Nothobranchius furzeri: one gene and its partners. The protein of the gene in region 1 binds, or shares a complex with, the protein of each later gene. Links are inferred from orthologs where the notes say so. Each region holds a gene or a part of one and is shown on either strand. Other genes may lie near its edges.

Evidence for each region. Proteins that work in one complex are often made in the same cells at the same time.
Region 2: the proteins of bmp2b (region 1) and bmpr1aa are in contact, whole or in part, in a crystal structure (PDB 2QJ9), measured with the Homo sapiens proteins. The link is inferred for Nothobranchius furzeri from reciprocal best matches to the Homo sapiens genes BMP2 and BMPR1A. Residues at the interface, in NP_001191.1 of Homo sapiens: Lys297, Pro330, Phe331, Pro332, Leu333, Ala334, Asp335, His336, Ser339, Asn341, Ile344, Val345, Leu348, Asn350, Ser351, Val352, Asn353, Ser354; in NP_001393490.1 of Homo sapiens: His66, Cys67, Pro68, Asp69, Ile77, Thr78, Asn79, Phe83, Ile85, Cys100, Met101, Lys102, Glu104, Gly105, Phe108, Gln109, Asp112, Arg120, Ile122.
Region 3: the proteins of bmp2b (region 1) and hjv are in contact, whole or in part, in a crystal structure (PDB 4UI1), measured with the Homo sapiens proteins. The link is inferred for Nothobranchius furzeri from reciprocal best matches to the Homo sapiens genes BMP2 and HJV. Residues at the interface, in NP_001191.1 of Homo sapiens: Phe331, Pro332, Ala334, Asp335, Leu337, Asn341, Ile344, Val345, Leu348, Ser351, Val352; in NP_001366281.1 of Homo sapiens: Leu40, Asn43, Tyr46, Val47, Tyr86, Leu101, Ala102, Ser105, Ala106, His108, Gly109, Ile110, Asp112, Leu113.
Region 4: the proteins of bmp2b (region 1) and rgma are in contact, whole or in part, in a crystal structure (PDB 4UHY), measured with the Homo sapiens proteins. The link is inferred for Nothobranchius furzeri from reciprocal best matches to the Homo sapiens genes BMP2 and RGMA. Residues at the interface, in NP_001191.1 of Homo sapiens: Val308, Gly309, Trp310, Asp312, Trp313, Met371, Tyr373, Leu374, Asp375, Glu376, Lys383, Tyr385, Met388; in NP_064596.2 of Homo sapiens: Arg91, Arg94, Gly95, Leu97, His100, Ser101, His104.

What each region holds. Positions count from the first base shown.
Region 1 is NC_091742.1:22,692,608-22,697,978, reverse strand, and holds the start of bmp2b (bone morphogenetic protein 2b), read left to right. Parts: upstream 1-2,058; 5' UTR 2,059-2,236; intron 2,237-3,013; 5' UTR 3,014-3,026; coding exon 3,027-3,381; intron 3,382-5,371. UniProt on the Homo sapiens protein: Growth factor of the TGF-beta superfamily that plays essential roles in many developmental processes, including cardiogenesis, neurogenesis, and osteogenesis. Induces cartilage and bone formation.
Region 2 is NC_091752.1:44,599,363-44,604,281, reverse strand, and holds part of bmpr1aa (bone morphogenetic protein receptor, type IAa), read left to right. Parts: intron 1-1,130; coding exon 1,131-1,293; intron 1,294-1,561; coding exon 1,562-1,664; intron 1,665-2,091; coding exon 2,092-2,191; intron 2,192-2,273; coding exon 2,274-2,361; intron 2,362-4,919. UniProt on the Homo sapiens protein: On ligand binding, forms a receptor complex consisting of two type II and two type I transmembrane serine/threonine kinases.
Region 3 is NC_091745.1:60,116,521-60,122,023, forward strand, and holds the end of hjv (hemojuvelin), read left to right. Parts: intron 1-1,845; 5' UTR 1,846-1,879; coding exon 1,880-1,973; intron 1,974-2,503; coding exon 2,504-3,015; intron 3,016-3,634; coding exon 3,635-4,258; 3' UTR 4,259-4,490; downstream 4,491-5,503. UniProt on the Homo sapiens protein: Acts as a bone morphogenetic protein (BMP) coreceptor. Through enhancement of BMP signaling regulates hepcidin (HAMP) expression and regulates iron homeostasis.
Region 4 is NC_091744.1:69,273,587-69,278,477, forward strand, and holds the end of rgma (repulsive guidance molecule A), read right to left. Parts: intron 3,672-4,891; coding exon 2,970-3,671; 3' UTR 1,014-2,969; downstream 1-1,013.

The sequences.
Region 1 (5,371 bases):
ACGCAAACCGGAAAAACTTCTGACGATCACAATTCGACAACGGATTATGAAAGAACGGATAACGTTCAAAATGTGCGGATTCTTCCTGATGTAAGAGATGAGTCTCCATTTTGTTTTGGTTGTTTTGGTTGTTTTGGCGTTGGCATCATCGTGGAGCGCACTGTTCTGTGACTCTTCCAAAAAACTTTGAAAACTCTAAAAAATGCTGGCAGTGAAGGGCTTCTCTGACCAGGAAACGGCTGGCAGTGAATGAGTTAATAATTAAGAAGCTGACAGAACCATCAAGGTTCAAAATTGTGTTGAAAACCATCCAATTTATTTTAAAATCACAGAAATCAATTTGTATTTATGTTTAGTAGGCCGGTCCAAACTAATCTCTGTTTCACCAAACTAAGGCTGTTCAAAGAACAGTCTACAGACTATTACTGTAAATATAAAAATAAGACATTTGTAGTTATTTCTTTCTTTGTTTTATGTATTTATCTTTACAAAAACCAACGAGAGTTCAAAATAATGGTCAGTTACGACATTGCCACAAAACGTTCAGTCTTTATCTTATTCCACTGATTCATAATAATTCTTAAAATACAAAATGGTTTCACTCGTGAAGCAAAGGCATACATATTTAGACCTTCCGTTGAAGGGGTTTCAGGTAATGGCAAAGAAATGTCAACAGGTGCGCCATATTGGACGGATGACGTCAGCTGGGAAGAGCTGCAGGTTTAACAGGTTAAAAGCAGTTTAGGGTTTACATTTTTCAAATGAATTGATTTTTTTTCTTATCCGTGGCAACAAACCTCAAGTTTGATCATTTAGAAACTTGATAGTTAATTAACACAACTGTCCTTTAAAAGTGATAAAAAATGATATTTTGTTCATATAACAGGAAATTAAGAGGTTGAAAGGAATTGGTTTCGTCATATTTATTACAAATTAACCCTTTGATGCATGAATTATGAAATCTTCAACCATGATTTTTTAAACTTTTTTTTCATTCATCTGTAGGTGTGAATGAAACAAATTTCAGCAAATATTATTTGTAGTATTTTGTTAATTTACAAATAATTTATTACATGTCCATCTCAGGGGACAGCGTGCATTCTGAACACGAAATATGTTGGCTTGACTTACTGAAGTCCAAATGAAGGAGCTCAATTGCAATAAAGTCTTCAACAGCTGTAAAATAAACAAATAACAATTTTGAATACCTGTCCACTGTATAGTGACCATTATGCATCAAAGGGTTAATGTAAAATTATATGATGAAGCCTGTTTATTCTTTCTATTTGGTTGATTTAAGTAATTCCTTAATAACGTGTTGTGTTTGCTAAAAGGAAAAAACTGTTAATAACTGCAAATGTCCCACATAGTTCATTTTTCTCACTACATTTTGCATTTTGATCATTGGCAACCTTTTGAATCTCAAATGCACTGAATCTATTTTGGCAAAACAAACAAACAAAAGTACTTGTTTGTCAAAAGAAGCAAACAAAAAGTACTTTTTTTTCTTCAAATATGCTGAGTACACATTCTGAGGGGAAATACTTGGTTAAAAATTGTAGTAATAAACTCAGCTCATAAACTCCTGCCAGCTCTTCCACCTGTTCTTGGTGGTCCTGTTACAGATTTTAATCCAAATCACATTTGTAGATGTTTGCTGAAGGGGAGAGGAATAAAGTTTAAACAGTTTTCCATTGTGAAGTTAGAAATGAGGGATTTTTCTCCTGCGGGAGTTACGCACAGGAAGTGGTGCGGTTTGGACAGATGACTGACAGCCCAGTGACATCACTGTAGGACAAAAAGCGTCGCAGGGGAAAGAGAAGGCACCAATCAATAGACCCGCTCCGGAGAGCTCTCCCTCTCCGAGCACCAACTTCACTGCGCTCATCTCTCCACGAACATCGCGCGACGCTCCACGTTTCTCCACTTTCAGCTTTTCTTTTTTCTAATTTTAAAAATGTCCAGACAAGCTTCCTCGCACTTAGTTCGGCTATGCCTGCGCGCAGCCGCTTCCTCGTAGACTTAATTTTTCTACTTTTTTTCTTTCCTCTCCGGACTGAGCAAGACCCGAACCCGACGCGCAGCTGGTGAGAATATGTGCGAGAAGCGATCGGCGGAGGGCGCGGGCTGTTTTCGGTCCCCCAAGCAGAAGCAGCGTGGATTAAACACGAATTAATGTGGAATTTATCGGAGCTTAAAGGTGGAACGACGACCGGACACCGCGCGTTCTCGTCAGGTAAATCGCTAGAATAAAGAATAACCATCGATGTGGAGGTTTTAACCTGAATCCGCACTTGGACTGAACACAGAAAGGTCACTTCACAAGTGACAGCTCATTTGTTTCTAATAATAAATTCGTGCGTAAAGCCTCCGCCTGTTGAGCCACGGAGAAACAGAAAATGAAAATAGAGGTAAAAGTTGTCTGTGTGGAAGTTGTTTGACTCCGTCTGTGTTTCTGATGCCTGGCTGTGGGGCACACGTCAGATCTAACACCTGCAAGCCTCTTGAAGTAACTATCCTTTATGATTACATGCAAACAGCGCGCAGTGGGACTGGAACTGATGCGTGTTCTTCCTTTGATCCTTCTCTCTGCATGGACTTTCATATCTGCAACAAGATCTCTTATCTCTTCTCGCTGGAGACCTTTTGTCTGCAGCGTTTCCCTTCAAATCCTTTGATTTGTCTGTTTAATCCACCTCTGTCATTAGTTTTTCACCTTGATATTTCATGTTAGGGTTCATGTTCAACCCAAACTAGAGGAGCAGTTTAGCCTCTGGGTTTTTCTTTCTTTCTTTCTTTCTTTCTTTCTTTCTTTCTTTCTTTCTTTCTTTCTTTCTTTTTCTTCTGCACTTCAAAGTGAAGAGGTGTCTCCCCCTTTTTAACCTGCTCCCCTTCAGTTTTACGCTCTGAGGGGGGATTTGGGAACTGCTGCCGCGAGAGCCTAGCTGGGACCACCTCACGTCAATACCACATTGCCTGCCAGTGTATTGACAGAAACCAACTTTCTCCACAGGGACTGACTGATCATGGTCGCCGTGGTCCGCTCTCTCATGGTACTGATGCTCGCTCAGGTGCTGCTGGAAGGTGCTGCGGGACTCATCCCCGAGGTAGGCCGGAGGAAGTACAGCGAATCCGGGAAACAGACCCCTGAGCAGTCGGAGAGCTTCCTCAACGAGTTCGAGCTGCGGCTTCTCAACATGTTCGGGCTGAGACGCAGGCCGACCCCCAGCAAACAAGCCGTGGTGCCCCAGTACATGGTGGACCTTTACCGGATGCACTCTGCGAACGGAGACCACAGCACTAAGCGGCCCAAGAGCATGGGGAAGCACGCAGAGAGAGCCGCCAGCAAGGCCAACACGATTAGAAGCTTTCACCATGAAGGTATATATTAGTGACATACCTTTACATGTCTCTCTCAGACAGCGCAAACCTATATTTAAACATGACTCAGATCGTCAACACTGAACTTCAGAGTCTTCCCTGTTTTCTGAAGGTTTAGTCATTTACAGATGACATGCTCCGAAGGTATTTGCAACCTTAAAAAATGCTTTAACTTAAAGATTGATGCACAAAAATCACATCAAAGTTGACTTTTCTCACCTAAGCAGCAGTGCAACATTTAGACAAACATCCCTCCAGCACAGCTGTCACAGGCTTCAGAAACATCAGGGGCGGCGGTATCCCCGGGGTCATTAGTTTCTTAATAATTGATGGTGTTTGCGTGGGATTCTGAAAACTGTTTTTCCAGACACGCACCACGGGAGCAGCATAAAGGGCGGTGCGCCTGTGCGCAGGTGATAGACGTCACCCTGCAACTTCAAAAAACAACCGACATCAGAGCAACACACACGATGACGAAGTCACCGTGTCAGACTGAGTCACCTTTAACAAGACTCAAATTAGCTCTTGGTAACGCCGTAGAGGAGGCGTGGCTTCCCTTCTTCCTGTTGCTTCCAGTTGTGCATCATTACGCGTGAACCAGTTTGGAGAAGACAGCGATAGTTGAACTACAAGTCTCAGTTCAGTTGAATTTAAAAACCTATATTTAAACATGACTCATTCACCTCTCGGATGAAAATAAACGTTTTGCAGACTCTGGATCAGCTGTTAAAATGTGGATTTAAACAGTATTTTAACAAAGTAAATGATGCTTTGTTTATAACAGCTTTAAAAGCAGGAGCACTCGATGTTTACGTTTTTGTATAATAAACATCTTATTCCCGGTATAGTAGATTTGCACATCTATTTATCTTAATGTGACCCACGTTGCTGGGTCCATTGGGGCCCTGCGCAGAGTCCTCATACAGAGTCCTGTGTTTGAGTGGAGAAGTTTCTTTCCATCAGGGGTGAGTCAGAGGGGTGGTTGAGTGGTTGCTTGGGTGCTCTCCAAAGGCCTAGTGCAATGACACCAAGTGGCTACACTGACACACTACAAACAACCCTGAGCAGCAGGGTTGAGTGACTGCTCCCAGCTCACCGCTGGAAACCTCTGCACTCAGCCAACACACGTTGACATTTACACGTCTTCTCCTGGCTCTTTTCGTCCTATGCTAACAGCCGCGCGGTTATTAGGCTTCCCGTATCGCGTCGAGGGATTGTTCCCCCTGTAATAAGCACGGATCTACAGATGTTAATGCAGCACATCAAAGCAAACAGCTCCAAGCCTTCGTCACGTCTGCCACGCCATGCTCCTTTCGCTCGGACAATTGGTTTTCAGGAATAACTCGAGTCAAATAGAGCCTTTCCACCGTAGCACAGGACGCAGCTGCCAGAGATGGCCGATCCAATATTAGCATCTATCTTTTGTTTTGGCGAGTGGCACAAAAATAAAGCTGTGGAAATCTGTGGTTCGCGTGCTTTTGACAAGCATAAACTTGTTCACACAGCAGTTCCAGACCGAGATCGAGAACAGTTGCAGAAAGGAACTGAGAAAACGGTGACAGAGAAGACAAGAGAAGAGGATCTCTAAAAGGACGGAGGGGAAAGAGGGGGATTTGGGTGCTGATAAAAAACAAAAAAAGAAGAGTAGGATTGGGTGAAGAGGAGCGAGAATGAGAGAGGGGGCTTTCCCACATCAAATGAGTAGTGATGGGTCTAATTGAGGTCTTTGTGCCTCTGGAGGGGGGTTTAGGACCAGATCGTGGAATTTCCTAAATGGCTCCTTTGAACAGATAAGAGTTTGAGGTTTGCGCTACTTTGCCGCACAAACCAGATTAAACTGCATGTCTATGGCTTGTCTATGATCTGCATGAAGTAAAAGTTCAAAGCAGGGCCGCCTCAAAGCAAATTGTAGCTTTTACCAACACTTCTGCCATTTGCACCACAGAGGGGAATGCCAGCGGACTTAAGTATACGCTTAACAGTCACAGGA
Region 2 (4,919 bases), on another chromosome or scaffold:
CACATCTCAATTTAATTGTATATGCAAGTAATCATTCAGCCCTAACTGAATTTGAGGAGAAATCCTGCAAATATTAACAGAAATATCCATGAAGACTAAATGATGGAAGATTCTTCTTTAGACAAGGGAAGATGATCCATGATCCCTTCAGCGGGCTTTTAAAACTCATAAAGGAACGTTTGGAACAGCTGAGGAGGATTGTTTTTGATGGGACGTCAGTTTGGCATTATTTAAAAGATTTTATTTGCAGACGATGACTCAGTGTTGGCTCTCGTAAAGTTTTTTAGTGAAATAATTCCTGGCCCAGACTCATCAGCTGCTCACATGGGGGATAAAAAAAGCTTCCCGGCTGAATTACCCAGCATGCTCTGCCAGACCTCAGTCTCCACTCTGACTAACGCTGCAATTACTTACACATGTTGACACACAAGGGAGATATTTCCAGACTCCACAGGCCCTCTTTCTTCCTGTCACTCACAGGCTCTCAGCCAATCAGGGCTCAGCGTAAGTCTGGTTCCTCTGTCTGGTGTGAGTTAGTCCGCTTCAATTGGAAGGAAAACACGATGGAACTGGGAAAGCTGAGAGACGACCGGGCAGTTCAGAGAGAGGGAGAGATAGAGAGAGAGAGAGAGAGAGAGAGTGTGTGTGTGTGTGTGTGTGTGTGTGTGTGTGTGTGTGTGTGTGTGTGTGTGTGTGTGTGTGTGTGTGTGTGTGTGTGTGTGTGTGTGTGTGTGTGTGTGTGTGTGTGTTTACTCTGAGGAGAGCCTTAATAAGGAAACATTTACAGAAACGTTAGTCTGGAGAAAATCACCAACCAGCACTACGAAGTACAGTTTTTACATTTTTAGTATCAGAAATAACCAGATTAGGCTTCATACTGGTTTGAACTGTGGTGCATGTGTGTGCCCTTTGACCCCTGGCTTTATGCTCCATATATGGCACTCCTCCTCTGTGCCTCCATGCAGCCTGTCATCAGCTGATAGAGGAGGAATGTTTCACCTCCTCTGATAAATCTGACTCGACTCACTGAGCTGCAGCTGTTCCACATCAAATAAAATCACCTTTAATCTGTGGGTCTGTTTGTGTGACCAGCTGTAAATCCAGTGCTGATTCCTCATTTATCCGTGCAGCCGCGGGTCAGAACCCTGACCACGTTCTGCAGGGGGTTGGTGAGAAACCTGAGGCCCGGCGTCCCGGCGAGGACTCCACCATCGCGCCTGAAGACCTCCCCCGATTCCTCAGCTGCTACTGCTCAGGTCACTGTCCTGACGACGCCGTCAACAACACCTGCCAGTGAGTAGGCACTCCATCTGAACCCAGTTGGGCATTATGGGGTGTTCTCCACTTTACTGCTGTCATTCATAAACAGAAGCAGAACAGTTAAATCCATCATACGTGTGCGATTGGATTTGTTTTTAGCTTCACAGACAAATACAAATATCAGGAAGTTATTTCTGAGCTAAATGACTCGGGGCTGAGATGCTGTTGGTCCCCCCCATGAAGTCTCAGATGAATCTGGTTGCTGGTTCAAAGCGGTGCATTAGTGCGTTTGTGTCTTCAGGACCAACGGTCAGTGCTTCGCCATCATCGAGGAGGACGAGAACGGAGATTCCCAGCTCACCTCCGGCTGCATGAAGTATGAAGGCTCTCACTTCCAGTGCAAGGTATGCTGATGTCACACACACTTCGGTGGGTTCACCTGCACAAACACAAGGTCAGATGCTGCTCAGACCTAAAGGAGCTTCAGATCTCTGCAGGCTGGAGCCATTTGATAGATTTTTTTGGCTGATATTTTTGCCTCTTGTTGCCTTTAATAAATGGATTCTGTTGGTTTTGAACGGTAACACGGTTCTTTAACCTTGGTTTTGAAACTGGAATAAGTGAAGATTTGCTGCAAAAAGTTTCTTGAAAATGGTTTCTGTTTAAAATGTGCTTTATATCATATTTATCTTTTTTATTTAATTTTTATTTTTTTATTTTTTTCAGTTTTTACAATAAATCAGTAATGATAGATGGATGTCGTCTCTGGTTGACCTGAGATGTTAAAAGAGTCCACAGATGTTTATTTTCTGCTCTCTGGTTGGATGACAGGACTCTCCCAATGCTCAGACCAGGAGGACAATCGAGTGCTGTAACACAGATTTCTGTAACGGAGACCTGAGGCCCACCCTACCGCCACAGATTAGCACCGGTAACCTGTCAGCTGATCTGAGAGCAGTGATTCAGGTAAAAATACAGCTGCAGGTTTAAGTCAATTTTGCTTGTTTCTGCAGAGAATCGCTCCCATTGGCTAGCCTTCCTCATCTCCATGACAATTTGCTGCTGCACTCTGGTCTGCGTCACCATCATCTTCTACTGCAGGTAAGAACTCACCTGGAAATGGGTTGAAAGCAGCTCTAGAAATGCTAAACGGCTTTTCACATCTGGGGAAGATGTTTTCCGTAGGGATGCACAATAGCAAAAACATTCACAAGGATTGTCTTAAACCCTGTTAAAAATCTGGTTGACGTGGAACTGATGCAGGGTTCCCGCTGGGTCTGGAATTTAGGAATTTTAAAATAAGAACTTATAAAGTCTTCAAAAAGTAATTTTCACAACTGGGTCTTAAAATGTGTGCTATATGTAAATCTGTACTGTATTTGTCCTTTTAAGTTTCATTTGTCAACCACTATCGTTTTTACTAAACGTAGCATAAATAAAATGTGGCGGAATCAATAATTGCGAACGCAGCGCAGCCTCGGGTCAAAATAGTCCGAACACGTGACGTAGTCAGCTCCCGCGCTACAGCAGTGATACAAACGGTAAACACAACCTCCAGCAGAGAAGAAACTTAGCAGACCATAAAAAAGGTTGACTGACACCTAGGGATGGGTGCCAGAACCCTGGACCTCTTTAAGGAAAAACATTTGGTTGGTACTGATATCAAAATATGTATTAATGTCCTAATGTGCCACAGCGGGTCACATGACTGATCCCAAGTCACGTTATGAGTGGAGGAGACGCGTCACCTTTCAACAAAGGAATTTCTTTAGCCTAGTGGCATCAGAAAAGCTGATGAAAAAGCCACACAAAAGAGATGAGATTGTGTGAGAACGGGTTTTAACAGCATAGTCATCAGTCATGACATCAGGTAACAACACAACCGGACAAAAGACTATAAGATTAGAACTAGACAACATCAGGCACCAAAATCGGGTTACAACATTAGGGATTAAAATCAAGTCACAACATCAGGGATTAAAATGAGGGTACAACATCAGGGACCAACATCAGGGTTTAAAATCAGTTTATAACATCAGGGATTAAAATCAGGTTACAACATCAGGGACCAACATCATAGATTAAAATCAGGTTACAACATCAACGGCTGACATCAGGGATTAAAATCAGGTTACAACATCGGGACCCAACATCAGGGTTTAAAATCAGTTTATACATCAGGGTTCAAAATCAGTTTATACATCAGGGATTAAAATCAGGTTACAACATCAGGGACCAACATCAGGTTACACAATCAGGGATTAAAATGAGATTACAGCATCAGGGACCAACATCGGGTTACAACATTAGGGACAAAAATCTGGGATTAAAATGAGGTTACAACATCAGGGACCAACATCAGGTTACAGCATCAGAGATTAAATGAGATTACAACATTACAACATCTTTTTTTTTTCCATTTATATAGCATTGTTCACAGACGCAAAAGTGATTTTGACACAAATTGCTTCACAGTAAACAGCAACAGAGCTAAATGTAACACCAGTGTTCCGTTTTTTGTCACTTAAAATGGAAACACCAGTTATTTAATAAAGCACCTCCCCGTTCATGGTGTGAGCTGAAGCATGGACCATGTTTGGCTGCGAAAGCAGACCTGACCCACGATGGCAAGGCATTTTAACATTTTATCAACAAGCACACCTATTTGTAATACCTATTTTACATGGCTGCAATATAATTAATCTTAATCTGGATTTTATTTTTTACTAGTCATAATTAAAAATGATGATATCAACAACTATTTTATACTAGCAGGAATACAATGCTCATTTACCCACATCATGTAACAACAGCATGTAACAGCTTGTAACAACAGCATGTAACATCATGTAACAACAGCATGTAACATTATGTAACAACAGCATGTAACATCGTGTAACAACAGCATGTAACATCATGTAACAACAGCGTGTAACAACAGCTTGTAACAACAGCATGTAACATCATGTAACAACAGCATGTAACATTATGTAACAACAGCATGTAACATCGTGTAACAACAGCATGTAACATCATGTAACAACAGCGTGTAACAACAGCTTGTAACAACAGCATGTAACATCATGTAACAACAGCATGTAACATTATGTAACAACAGCATGTAACATCGTGTAACAACAGCATGTAACATCATGTAACAACAGCATGTAACATCATGTAACAACAGCATGTAACATCGTGTAACAACAGCATGTAACATCGTGTAACAACAGCATGTAACATCGTGTAACAACAGCATCATTTCACACCAGTTAACCAAATCCGGAAAAGAACATATGTAATATCATCTGGTAACAACGTCAGGAAAACAACAGGACTTTTCTTGTTATCTTGAAGATGTTTTACCTCTCGTCCAAGAGACGGCTTCATGTCTAGAGCTTATTGTCAGCAGGAGTCTGCAAGTCTTATTTTTATTACTTTTTCTTTAAAAAGGGCTTCTGTGGGTACCAGTGACCAAGTTGGTGTGACTGGGTGAATGATACACTGTAGATCAAAGCGCTTTGGAGTCCTCTGGCTCTGAAAGGTCTTATACAAGTGCAGGTCATTTATCATTTACATTTATTTTAATATTGAAGATGTTCGATTGATTAAAGATGGATATCAGAACCCCAATAATCCAGGATTAGAACTCTTCAGAT
Region 3 (5,503 bases), on another chromosome or scaffold:
TAAGTTGTGTGTGTGTGTGTGTGTGTGTGTGTGTGTGTGTGTGTGTGTGTGTGTGTGCGTGCATGCGTGCGTGTGTTAAATTTAGCCTTCACACACAGCCGTTCCAACATGTTAACCCTAAATGACTGAACTGATCAGATCTAAGATCAGCTCATTGCTGATTAAATCGTCTGATGTCTGGAGCAGAAACATCAGAAATGCCACCATTTTACTCCTGTCATGATTCATTTGTTAACATAATGATTTACTGACATCACAATGTCTGATACTTTTCCAGCAGCCCAACTTCCTGTAACCCTTTAACCCTGGAGCATCAGTATTAGTACATTCACCAGCAGCCTGCCATATCCCATACCAAAATGAATGAAAACACCTTAATTGATGGACAAAACCAAGACAGAAGGAAAGGTTTCTGGGTTAAAATTTAAAGAGAGCTCTTTGACAATCCAGGTTGGATCTAAAATCTGGTTTCCTGATGTTCTGTTTTCTCTCTTGATTGGATTAAATTTATTATTCCTAAATGTGGAAATCCTATTTTTATGAGCTGAAAAAATAAAAGTGCAGAAAAAAAACGAGTTTTAATCAATAAGATTTCATCCACACGCCTAAAACGAGACACAATGTTGAAACTCATCTGAAGTAAAACACTGAAACAAATCTTCATCTGATGAATCAAACGTTCAAAATCAAACAAACTTTTTTAATTTAATACAGTTAGTTTTGAATCTTTTTTCTGTTAGAAGTCTGAAGGTTGAACCAATCGTTGTGGGGAATCACTCTAAGCCCTGCCCCTCGCTGCTGATGTTTGTTCTACAGATAAAAAATCAAAACAGGCAAAAGTCCAACTGTGAATGACACAGAACCTTTAAAGTCCAGGGGTCTTATTTATAAAACATTGTGTAAAATCCTTACTAAAACTGTACTTGAGCTCAGCAAAAAAGATTTACTTACGCCTAGTAGGTTTGTGACCTATAAAACATGGAGTACACACAGCTGCACACAATCTCTGCTTTATAAATCACTAACTACCGAGAAATGTGCTCCGGTGTTTTTGGATCACATCCCGGGGTCTTGTTCTGTGTGTGCATGAAGCGGTACAAGTGGTAATGCTGCTGGAATTCACAATGTTATCCTTCTCAGCAGCAGCACTGCAGGTGCCCTCCATGTCCAAAATGTGCGTAAGCCAGGTCCTTAGTCAACTTAAAGTTGCGCACATTTTTCCGCTACGTTTTCTTTTATAAATCCCAAAGTTTGCATAGAAAGTTGCTTGCATAGATTTCTGACCCCGTTTTGCGTGTAAGCAAGCTTGATAAATGAGGTCCCAGCACAGTTTCAGCATCATGCTGCAGCTGGAAGATCAGACTGATGGTAAATGAGTCATGATTTCAGATAGCTTGTCCTCTCAGTGCTTCAGATCTCCAGGAACGTTCTCCTGGGAAAGCTTCCTGAAGCTGAAGTTCCTCATACATGTGGATCATCTATTCGGCTGGAAATTGGAGACGTTCCTGCTTCTAACAGCTGATCAGAGGCAGCTAATGGCCTCAGATGAATCTAATTCTTCAGAAATCAAACTTCTATTGTGATGACTTCAAACCTGCTGCAGTAAATTCAGATAAAACCAGACTGACAGTGAATGATGACCTCAGATAAACGGTTCTGATGGACCACAGAACACTACTTCCACTCCATCTGTGATTCATACTGATGAACAGCCGGGGAGGAGGCAGGAAGCATCATCTGTCTCAGAATTTTCTATGATAGGAGTAGCTCATTAACACCTGGAGGGGAGGGGGAGGGGATTCACACGCAGGTGAGTGTAACATTGTGTGTGTGTGTTTTTTCCAGAGTTCTCTCCTCTCAACCTGTCGTCGGCCTGCTGATGGAGTCACAGGCAGTGTTAAGAGTTGTCCTGTTACCATGGAAACCCTGCATCCACCTGACTTTGCTACTGGTCCAGCTGAGTCTACCTGAAGGTACACACACACAACTTCCTGATTCTAGGAATTTTACTGTGCCTTCACAGGAAGTGAGACGTCAGAATTGAGAAAACTAAGAAAGCAGATTTGAACCAGCAACCTTCCCTCTGAGGGTTGTAGCGTTATCAAGATCCTATTGTCTGCCCTTAACAGCTGCCCCTTCACACAGTAACATCGACAAGGTCGGACGCTTGGTTCAGTATGTTTACATTCCAGGAGAAGAGACAGAAGAAGAGAAGAAGAACGCTTTCCATTGATTAATCAAAGTACTTTATTTATGATAAAGCTAATCAGAGCATATGTTGATCATTAATAATCAGGTGAATGATCTGTGAAATAAAGATGTCATGAGTTATGTGTTTAATGAATAAACAGGACTGCTCTGATTAGCTACAGATGTCTCAGGAGCTGGAATATGGATTCTTCAAAGTAAAAGCCTTTATCCAAAGAGCATGTTCTTTTATTTTGAAGGAGAATTTCTTTAATCAGCAACTCAAGTTAAATCAAACCTTTTTTCCCCTCCTCAGTCAGAGCTTCCTGCCACATTCTGAGGTGCAACTCAGAGTTTGTGGCAGCGACCTTTGACCTGAGCAGTGGCGGCGGTTCAGCTGTCAGCAGGGAGGTGGTGAACGCCGGCTACTGCAGCGCTCTGCGCACCTATGCCATATGCACCAAGAAGATGGCCCGGCCATGTCGAGGTGACCTGGCATATCACTCTGCAGTTCAGGGCATCGAGGATCTGCTGATCCAGCATCACTGCCCCAGGGTGGGGCCCACGGCCCAGCCACGGCCTCTGCCTCAGGGCACACTGTCAGCAGACACCTGCTTGTACGAGAAGAGCTTCTACAGCCGAGAGGGCCGGTTGCCAGAGTTCCTGCACTGCAGCGTGTTTGGAGACCTGCACATTAGAACTTTCGACAACGACTTCCACACCTGTGCTGTGCAGGGGGCGTGGCCTCTCATAGATAATGAGTACCTGTACATACAGGCCACCACCTCACCAGCAAGAGGGGAGGCGTACCCCACAGTTCTGACCAAGGTGAGCCAAAGTTATCATTAAAAAATGGGTTTTCAGTTAACCACACCTTTAAATGCTGTGCATTTTACCCCATTCAGCCATTGTATTAAAGTACAGAAATATAATATTACTTGCCAAAAAAATGGAGCATAGTTGTTGCATGCACGATCAGACCATGCCCATTGGGCAAAAAATGCAGAATTAACATCCGAGCTCAAATGCATAAAGGACACAACTAATGATAAAGTTCAGATAATCAAAATGGCTGAACATTTTTCACTTGAGGCTGAGGCCTTCCATGGAGCTAGCTGCTAATGCTAACTCTGAATTTGTTTCTTGTGTGTGAAGCTAAAACCTCTTTAAAAGCGTTTTTCATGAGGAAACAAGAATGTAACATAGTCATTGGCTCCAAAAAGTAGATTTTGCATGATATAGGACCCTTTTAAGTCCTGATCTGGTCCAAAAATTCTGATCCAGTTCAGGAGATACTCCTATAAGCATTTGAAGCATCTAGATCCAAAGTTCTAACACTATTTTGGTTTCTAAAAAATAACCAACAGAATTCTGATCCTGCGTGATGATCAACCACCACCACGGAAAGCACTGATGTTTGTTGATCATTGGTTTTGTTTCTTGTCAGATCACTGTCATCTTTAAGAACTGGCGCCAGTGTATCGATCAGCAGCTGTACCAGGCGGAGTTGGACAACGTTCCTGCTGCGTTCGCTGACGGGTCGGTGTGGAGTGGCGAGCGGCGGGGTCACCGCAGCCTGACGGTTCGGACCGAAAGTCCAGGCCGTCACACAGAGATTCGAGCGGTTCACATCGGCACACTGGTGGTGGTGCGTCAGAGTGGACGCTCTCTCAGCCTCTCAATCCGCTCACCGCGGGAAATCGTGGATGCTTTTGGACCCGATCATGACCTGCAGCTGTGCATGTGGGGATGCCCCGCCTCTCAGAAGCTCAACACACTCCGCCCCCCTCTACTGAACTCTTTGGCACCTGCTGCTGTCAGTGCTGAAGACCACTGTGCATTGCTGCTTCCTGCCCAAGATGTTTACTATCAGGCATGCGTGTTTGACCTGATCACCAGCGGAGACCTGAACTCCAGTATGGCCGCCGTCAGCGCGCTTCAGGACGCCAGAAACATGATCTCCAACAAGGAGAGGGTTCACCTGCTTCCTGCCTCTCATGCAGGAAATACAAATCCATGTGTGATGCTGCTCCTGCTGCTTGGCATGCTGGGAGTTGTGGGCGGGGCCTAGACAGAGCCCACGGCCTGCTGAGAAGGTGATGAGGTTCTAGGAGCTGCTGAGACAGACAGCGTATTGTTTTCTGAGCTGCAGGTTCTGGTTCAGAAAATCTCAATGACTCACTGTGTCGCCAACTCTCCGTCATCATTTGATCTTCCGACGGAAGAAAGTCAAAAATATTTTAGATTAAATTAGCTGTGAAACGGTGCGAAACAGGGCCGAACAAACCAATTCAGTAATCTTTAGTTTTGTGTTTCCCACGGGTGAAGAGATCAGGTAGACCTGCTCTAGGTGTGTTACGGTTAACCCGGTGGAAGGAGTAACACTTGGTGGTTCGTCTGCCTGAGCTCAAATAAAATCTGTGTCATGTTGAATCAGAATTCATACAAAATGTATCCGTCCTCACTTAGATGCTGCAGTTCCTCACTAAGGTGCTTCAGAGAATCATTGGGTCAGGTTCTAACTGGTTTGCTGGTTGAGACTGGATCCAACTGGTTCTAATTGGATCTAGCTAGTTATGACTCGGTCTAACTGGTTCTAGGTGGTGTTAACTAGGGCATGCAGACTTTAGCTAGGAGGTGTGTTGGCCTGGGAATTTACTTGCTTTTTGACCTCGCGCTGACGCAGGCAGCAGGCTGCATCTTGATCACGTACTTGCTGCTGCACTACATGTAATGTTGGAGTTTTACACTAGGGGACAGAGTAGAGAACTCAGACCAGATAAAATCTCGGGCTTATAGGGTACAACCAAAACAAACATGGTGTCAATACATTGTAATAAATTGTAGGCCAGAATAAGTCAAAAGCAAAAGTTCATCACCTGCCTTAAAAACTTGAGTCATGTCAGTTTAAATGAACACTGAACAAAGCAAAAACTAAGGACAACACGACCGCCCACAATAAATGGGCATAAACACCTCAAATTAGAACAAAATAACTAAGAAAATGACTACCCACAATGCACCTCACCCAATGCAGCTTTCACAGTGGGCAGGGGCATTTTTTAATCTATAAATTGCAGTTTTAAGTTGACTGAATGCACGAGAATGAGGAAAATATAATCATCTGTTGAAAAAATCAAGCAATTTTAAGTTTTCATTATCAAAACACACAAAATTGAGTTCAACAATTAAAACTTATCAGGGAGACTTAGGTGAAATAGGAAAAATAAATTGAAACTACTTTTTGAGACTGTCTTTTTTTACAGTGTAGAAGAGATCAGAAAGTGGTTAATTTTGAGATCCTGACAGAAAATAG
Region 4 (4,891 bases), on another chromosome or scaffold:
GGGGTCTGAGGATCTCATCTCGGTACCTAATGACAGACAAACTACCTCTGGCGATCACATGGAAGGCCCCCCCAAAGAAATGCCATCCCACACTATAACTGACCCACTGCCAAATCAGTCATGCTGGAGGATATTGCAGCTCTCCATGGCATCTCCAGACTCTGTCATGTCTGTCACATGTGCTCAGTGTGAACCTGCTTTCATCTGTGAAGAGCACAGGGCACCAGTGGCCAATTTGCCAATCTTGGTGTTCTCTGGCAAATGCTAAACATCCTGCACGGTGTTGGGCTGTAAGCACAACTCTACATATGAATGTTGGGCCCTCAAACCACCCTCACAGAGTCTGTTTCTGACCGTTTCATCAGACACATGCATTGTGGCCCGCTGGAGGTCATTTTGCAGGGCTCTGGCAGTGCTCCTCCTGTTCCTCCTTGTGCAAAAACAGAGGTAGCAGTCCTGCTGCTGGGTTGTTGCCCTCCAATGGCCTCCTCCACATCTCTTGATGTACTGGCCTGTCTCCTGGTAGCGCCTCCATGCTCTGGACGCTACCTGCGCCACTTGTGTGGGTTGTAGACTCATGTTGCCACTAGAGTGCAAGGACCGCCAGCACTCATAAGTGAACCAAAACATGAGCGAGAAATCATACGAACTGAGGAGTGGTCTGTGGTCACCACCTGCAGAAGCACTCCTTTATTGGGGATCTCTTGCTAATTGCCTATAATTTGTTGCCTTTTCCGTTTGCACAACAGCATGTGAAACTGATTGTGTCGGTTTTGCTTCCTAAGTGGACAGTTTGATATCACAGAAGTGTGACTGACATAGAGTTACATTGTGTTGTTGAAGTATTCCCTTTATTGTTATTTTTTGAACAGTGTATATATAAATGTTCAATTCTTCAAGGAGTCTTAATTTTTGTTTTAACACAAAGGTCCACCAGGGGGCAGTAAAAAACTGCAAGTTATAAAAAAAACTGATTTTGTTCTAAAGATGCAGGAGACACAGGCAGCAGCTCATTCACATGATGTTGTCTTTTATTCAATAAATAACTTACAATACCAACAGCTGGCATGAGGGACCACATGATATTTACATTAAACTGTTTGATCTTTCTTGCTTTTCCCATTCAGCCTTTTATTTTACTCTTTTTAACCAACACATGCTCAAAACAAAAACAGCTGAATAAAAAACATAAAGTGCTTTAAACTCAAAAACATGAGCGCCACTAAAACATTTCCCTACATTCTCTTTTTCCGAGTTAAGGTGGGTTGTTTTTTTTTAAGTGTGTGTCATCGATTCACCAATAACAGTGGAGACTGATCTGTTCTGTGGCGTTCATGTTGTTGAAAACAATTTAAAAAAAATTCAAATTAAAAGTCCCTTTTTTTAAAAAGAAAACATAAAAGGCTCACATTCACTGAAAGATTCTCTTTTTGTGTACAAAAACTGGAGTGGTGAATTCAAAACACAACAGGTGAGATACAAAATTTCAACACAACTCCACAAAACGTATGTACAATCTCACATAGTACAACCATTTACTGTTAAAACACACAGTATATCTAAAGTCACAATCAGCTGTTTGTAGGACTGTTTATGCATAACTCTGCCGTGCACTTCAGTGTAATCGATAAGTGATCTTAAAACTGCGTCTACCGGGGAAGACCAAACGTATCTCAGCAGGGGGAAGAGAGAGAACACCAAACACAAGAAAAGGTGAAGGTATTGCGTCATCACGCGGCGAGAAATCACCAACAAACATGAGTTATATACAACTAAGTCCTAATGTTTGAGGGTAGGAGATGGAAATGTACTCGTCAGGCAAATGTTGGCACAAGAGCGCGTTCTTTGGCAAGCGACTGAAGCCATGAAAGCATGTTTCCAGACATATTGTTTAGCCACAGAGACTCGGGTCAGCCCGCTACAATGGAAGTCTGTAAATGCTTAACCAGGTAGAGGTGACGTCTTTGACGGCAGAAACACCGGAACCCGCATCGCTGTACAGCTTGGGTTCATTATAAAGAGTTTGATTGGCCGATCGAGGTTAGATTAGTTCACACTTGGCCCAAATCCGAGCTTCGGCTAAATTTTGGGTGCAGCACAAAGACATGAGAAAAATTTCTCCCACTGGAGTTTCTTTTTTTTTTCTCCCTATACATACATACATACATACATACATACATACATACATACATACATACATACATATATATAAGGGAATTCCTGCACTTACAAACACACAAAATCAACCACTGATGCAAGATTCTGCACACATATTCCACGCGCACGCACGCACGCACGCACGCACACACGCGCACACACACACACACACACACACACACACACACACACACACACACACACACACACACACACACACACACACACACAAACCTAACAATATGACCCATTAATCTCCACAGCAGACAACTGGAGACGCTGCTATGACATCCTTTTGGCTGGATGCTTCCTCCAGAAAGGCTCGGGCTTTTCCAAAGCTGGAAGCTAATCAAACATAGAGCTGCTTCTGGCCTAAAAGGTTAACAAAAGCCTCTGTCAGGTCCTCCTGCTCAGCCACATGAGCCACAGAGAGCTTCCCTGGCTCGGCACCAATGTGCGGATCAGGAGAAGGGAGGATCAGCGAACCCCTCTTTCTGCAAAAGATCATCTTGTCCGGCTTTCCCACAGGCACGCAGCCCTGATGAGAGTGTGGGATTTAATCCCAGGTGGATATCCAGAGCTCTCCCACTGCTGCCCTCTTCAAAGATTAAAACCAGTTAAATACACGTGATGATAGGTGGTGAGCCCGTCTTTGTATTGACGTCAGGATGAGACTAGACGACTGAAATAAGACTTGAGGCAGCACTGACCTACGGGTGAAACCTCCAGTCATCAAGAGGCAGAACAGATGCGAGAGGCTGGGAAATGACACAGACTGACATTAAAGGCAGGAAGACACTGCTGTAAACCGACTATAGATGGATTGTGCAGCACTCCGTCCACAATAGGACAGCTAAGACATTCAGGAGGAAGACCAGCAGTACATTTTTGCCCTCTCGTGTTGCGCCGCTTAAAGCATCTTTTTCAAAGATGTGGTATCTCTTGCTGTTTGAGTGGAGCATTTTTACATCCTCAAAGGCGTAGTAGGCGGCCATGGTGAAGTTAATGTCTCCAGAGGACAGCAGATCAAACACACAGGACTGGAAGTACAGATCCTCCACTGGGAGCCGCTCTTTACACTTGGCCTTGGCGGACTTGAAGGTGAAGCCTTGCGTCCCAGAGCTGCTCCTTGGCCTGCCCGTGCTGTGAGCCTCCCCCGCTCTGGTTCTAACACTCCTGAAGTCGATGCGCTGGTTGGCGGGGCAGCCATGAAGACACAAGTACAAGTCCTGGTTATCACCCTCCTCCACCGAATTCACAACCTCCTCTGGCATTCGAATGGCGAAGGTCAGGTAGCGGCCCACCTGCCGGACTACAATGGTTGTCCCGATATACCTGGCCTGGATCTCCACGTGCTGCCCGGGCACCTTCTCCACCACTCGCAGGGTGCTGACTCCGTTTGGATCGCCACCATTTCTGGAGCCGTCGGCGAACGCAGCAGGCAGCTCGTCCGTCTCGGCGTGGTACGTCTTCTGCTCCACGCATTCCTGGAAGTTCTTGAAGATGATCGTCAGCTGCAGGAGGAGAGAGCAGCACCAAACATCAGACGTGTTCGCCTTCAGAACTAAGTGAAAGCAGCATTCATGAACTCACGACTAAAACACGTAATAAAAGAGAAGATTTTTTTCATCTTGTCACTGAGAACAAGTTTGTGCTATACGTGCCACCTCAGCCCCCCTTCTACCCCACTCCAGTGTCACATTACAGGGCTGGCTCAACGAGGGGGGAGGCCAAGGTAAACGCCCTCCAAAAACACGAGTCCAGGCCATGTAAAATCAGGCCTCAGTTTGCAGACACAAAGACGATCTATTCATAGCGCTGGAAAACCTGCCTGTGAACCCCCAGAACTATGCTCCGGGGAGTGGCGCGGGGCCAGGACACAGCGAGATACTCTGCAGCTAATTAAGTGGGACTGGTCAGGACTCTCCGAGCTGGGTTACACGGGACACCAAGGAGCCATTGTCACAGGACCAAGCCACGTACTCTGATGTCTGTGTCAAACCAGCCCCGTCCCTTCACACACCTCCCTCAGCTTCTGTTTCCTGTCTCGTTTCTTTAAAAAGTGACTGGATGAAACAAATAATAGAGGACAACAGCTCCTGTGATGGCCCCGTCTGAATTAATCTGCCACAGAGAGAGGACTCTACCCAGCAGCACATCTTTTACCACCAGAGCCGTGTTTGCACAGGTGCCACTTGCTGCTGCTTTGTTTCCTCTTTTGTCCACAGTCTTGTGCACTAAAAAAAGCCTCTCATGTGCTTCCAAGAATAGCTTTTTAAAAGAAGGTAATTACTTTAAAAGCTAAATAACACAAATGTTTAATGAGTCATTAAGAAACCCTGATTATAGAAAATTACAGTTTCTACAAATGTGATTAAGTTCTTTTATACCTCCTAAGTGCTTCACATTCACTGCTGGAGCAAATCCAGGCCAATTTCTACTAAAAAACATCTAAACCGTTCTGCTGATAAAGATGTGAAAGTTTCCCGTAGACAGTAATGGACCGAGCAGCACAAACATCAGGCAGAGCTAAAGTGAAAGCAGAGCCTCTTTGTTAACATTCGACGCTCCGCCGGTGTCGTTGGTAGAGCTTATCAAGGATCTTAGTGATTTTTCTGGGTCGGACGCCTCGATCTGTTATTATGGAACCGATCCAAACACTAACCAGAACCCACAGTTTGACAGAAAAGCAGTTCCACTCACTGCAGCGCTTACAGTCTGACCACACGAAAGA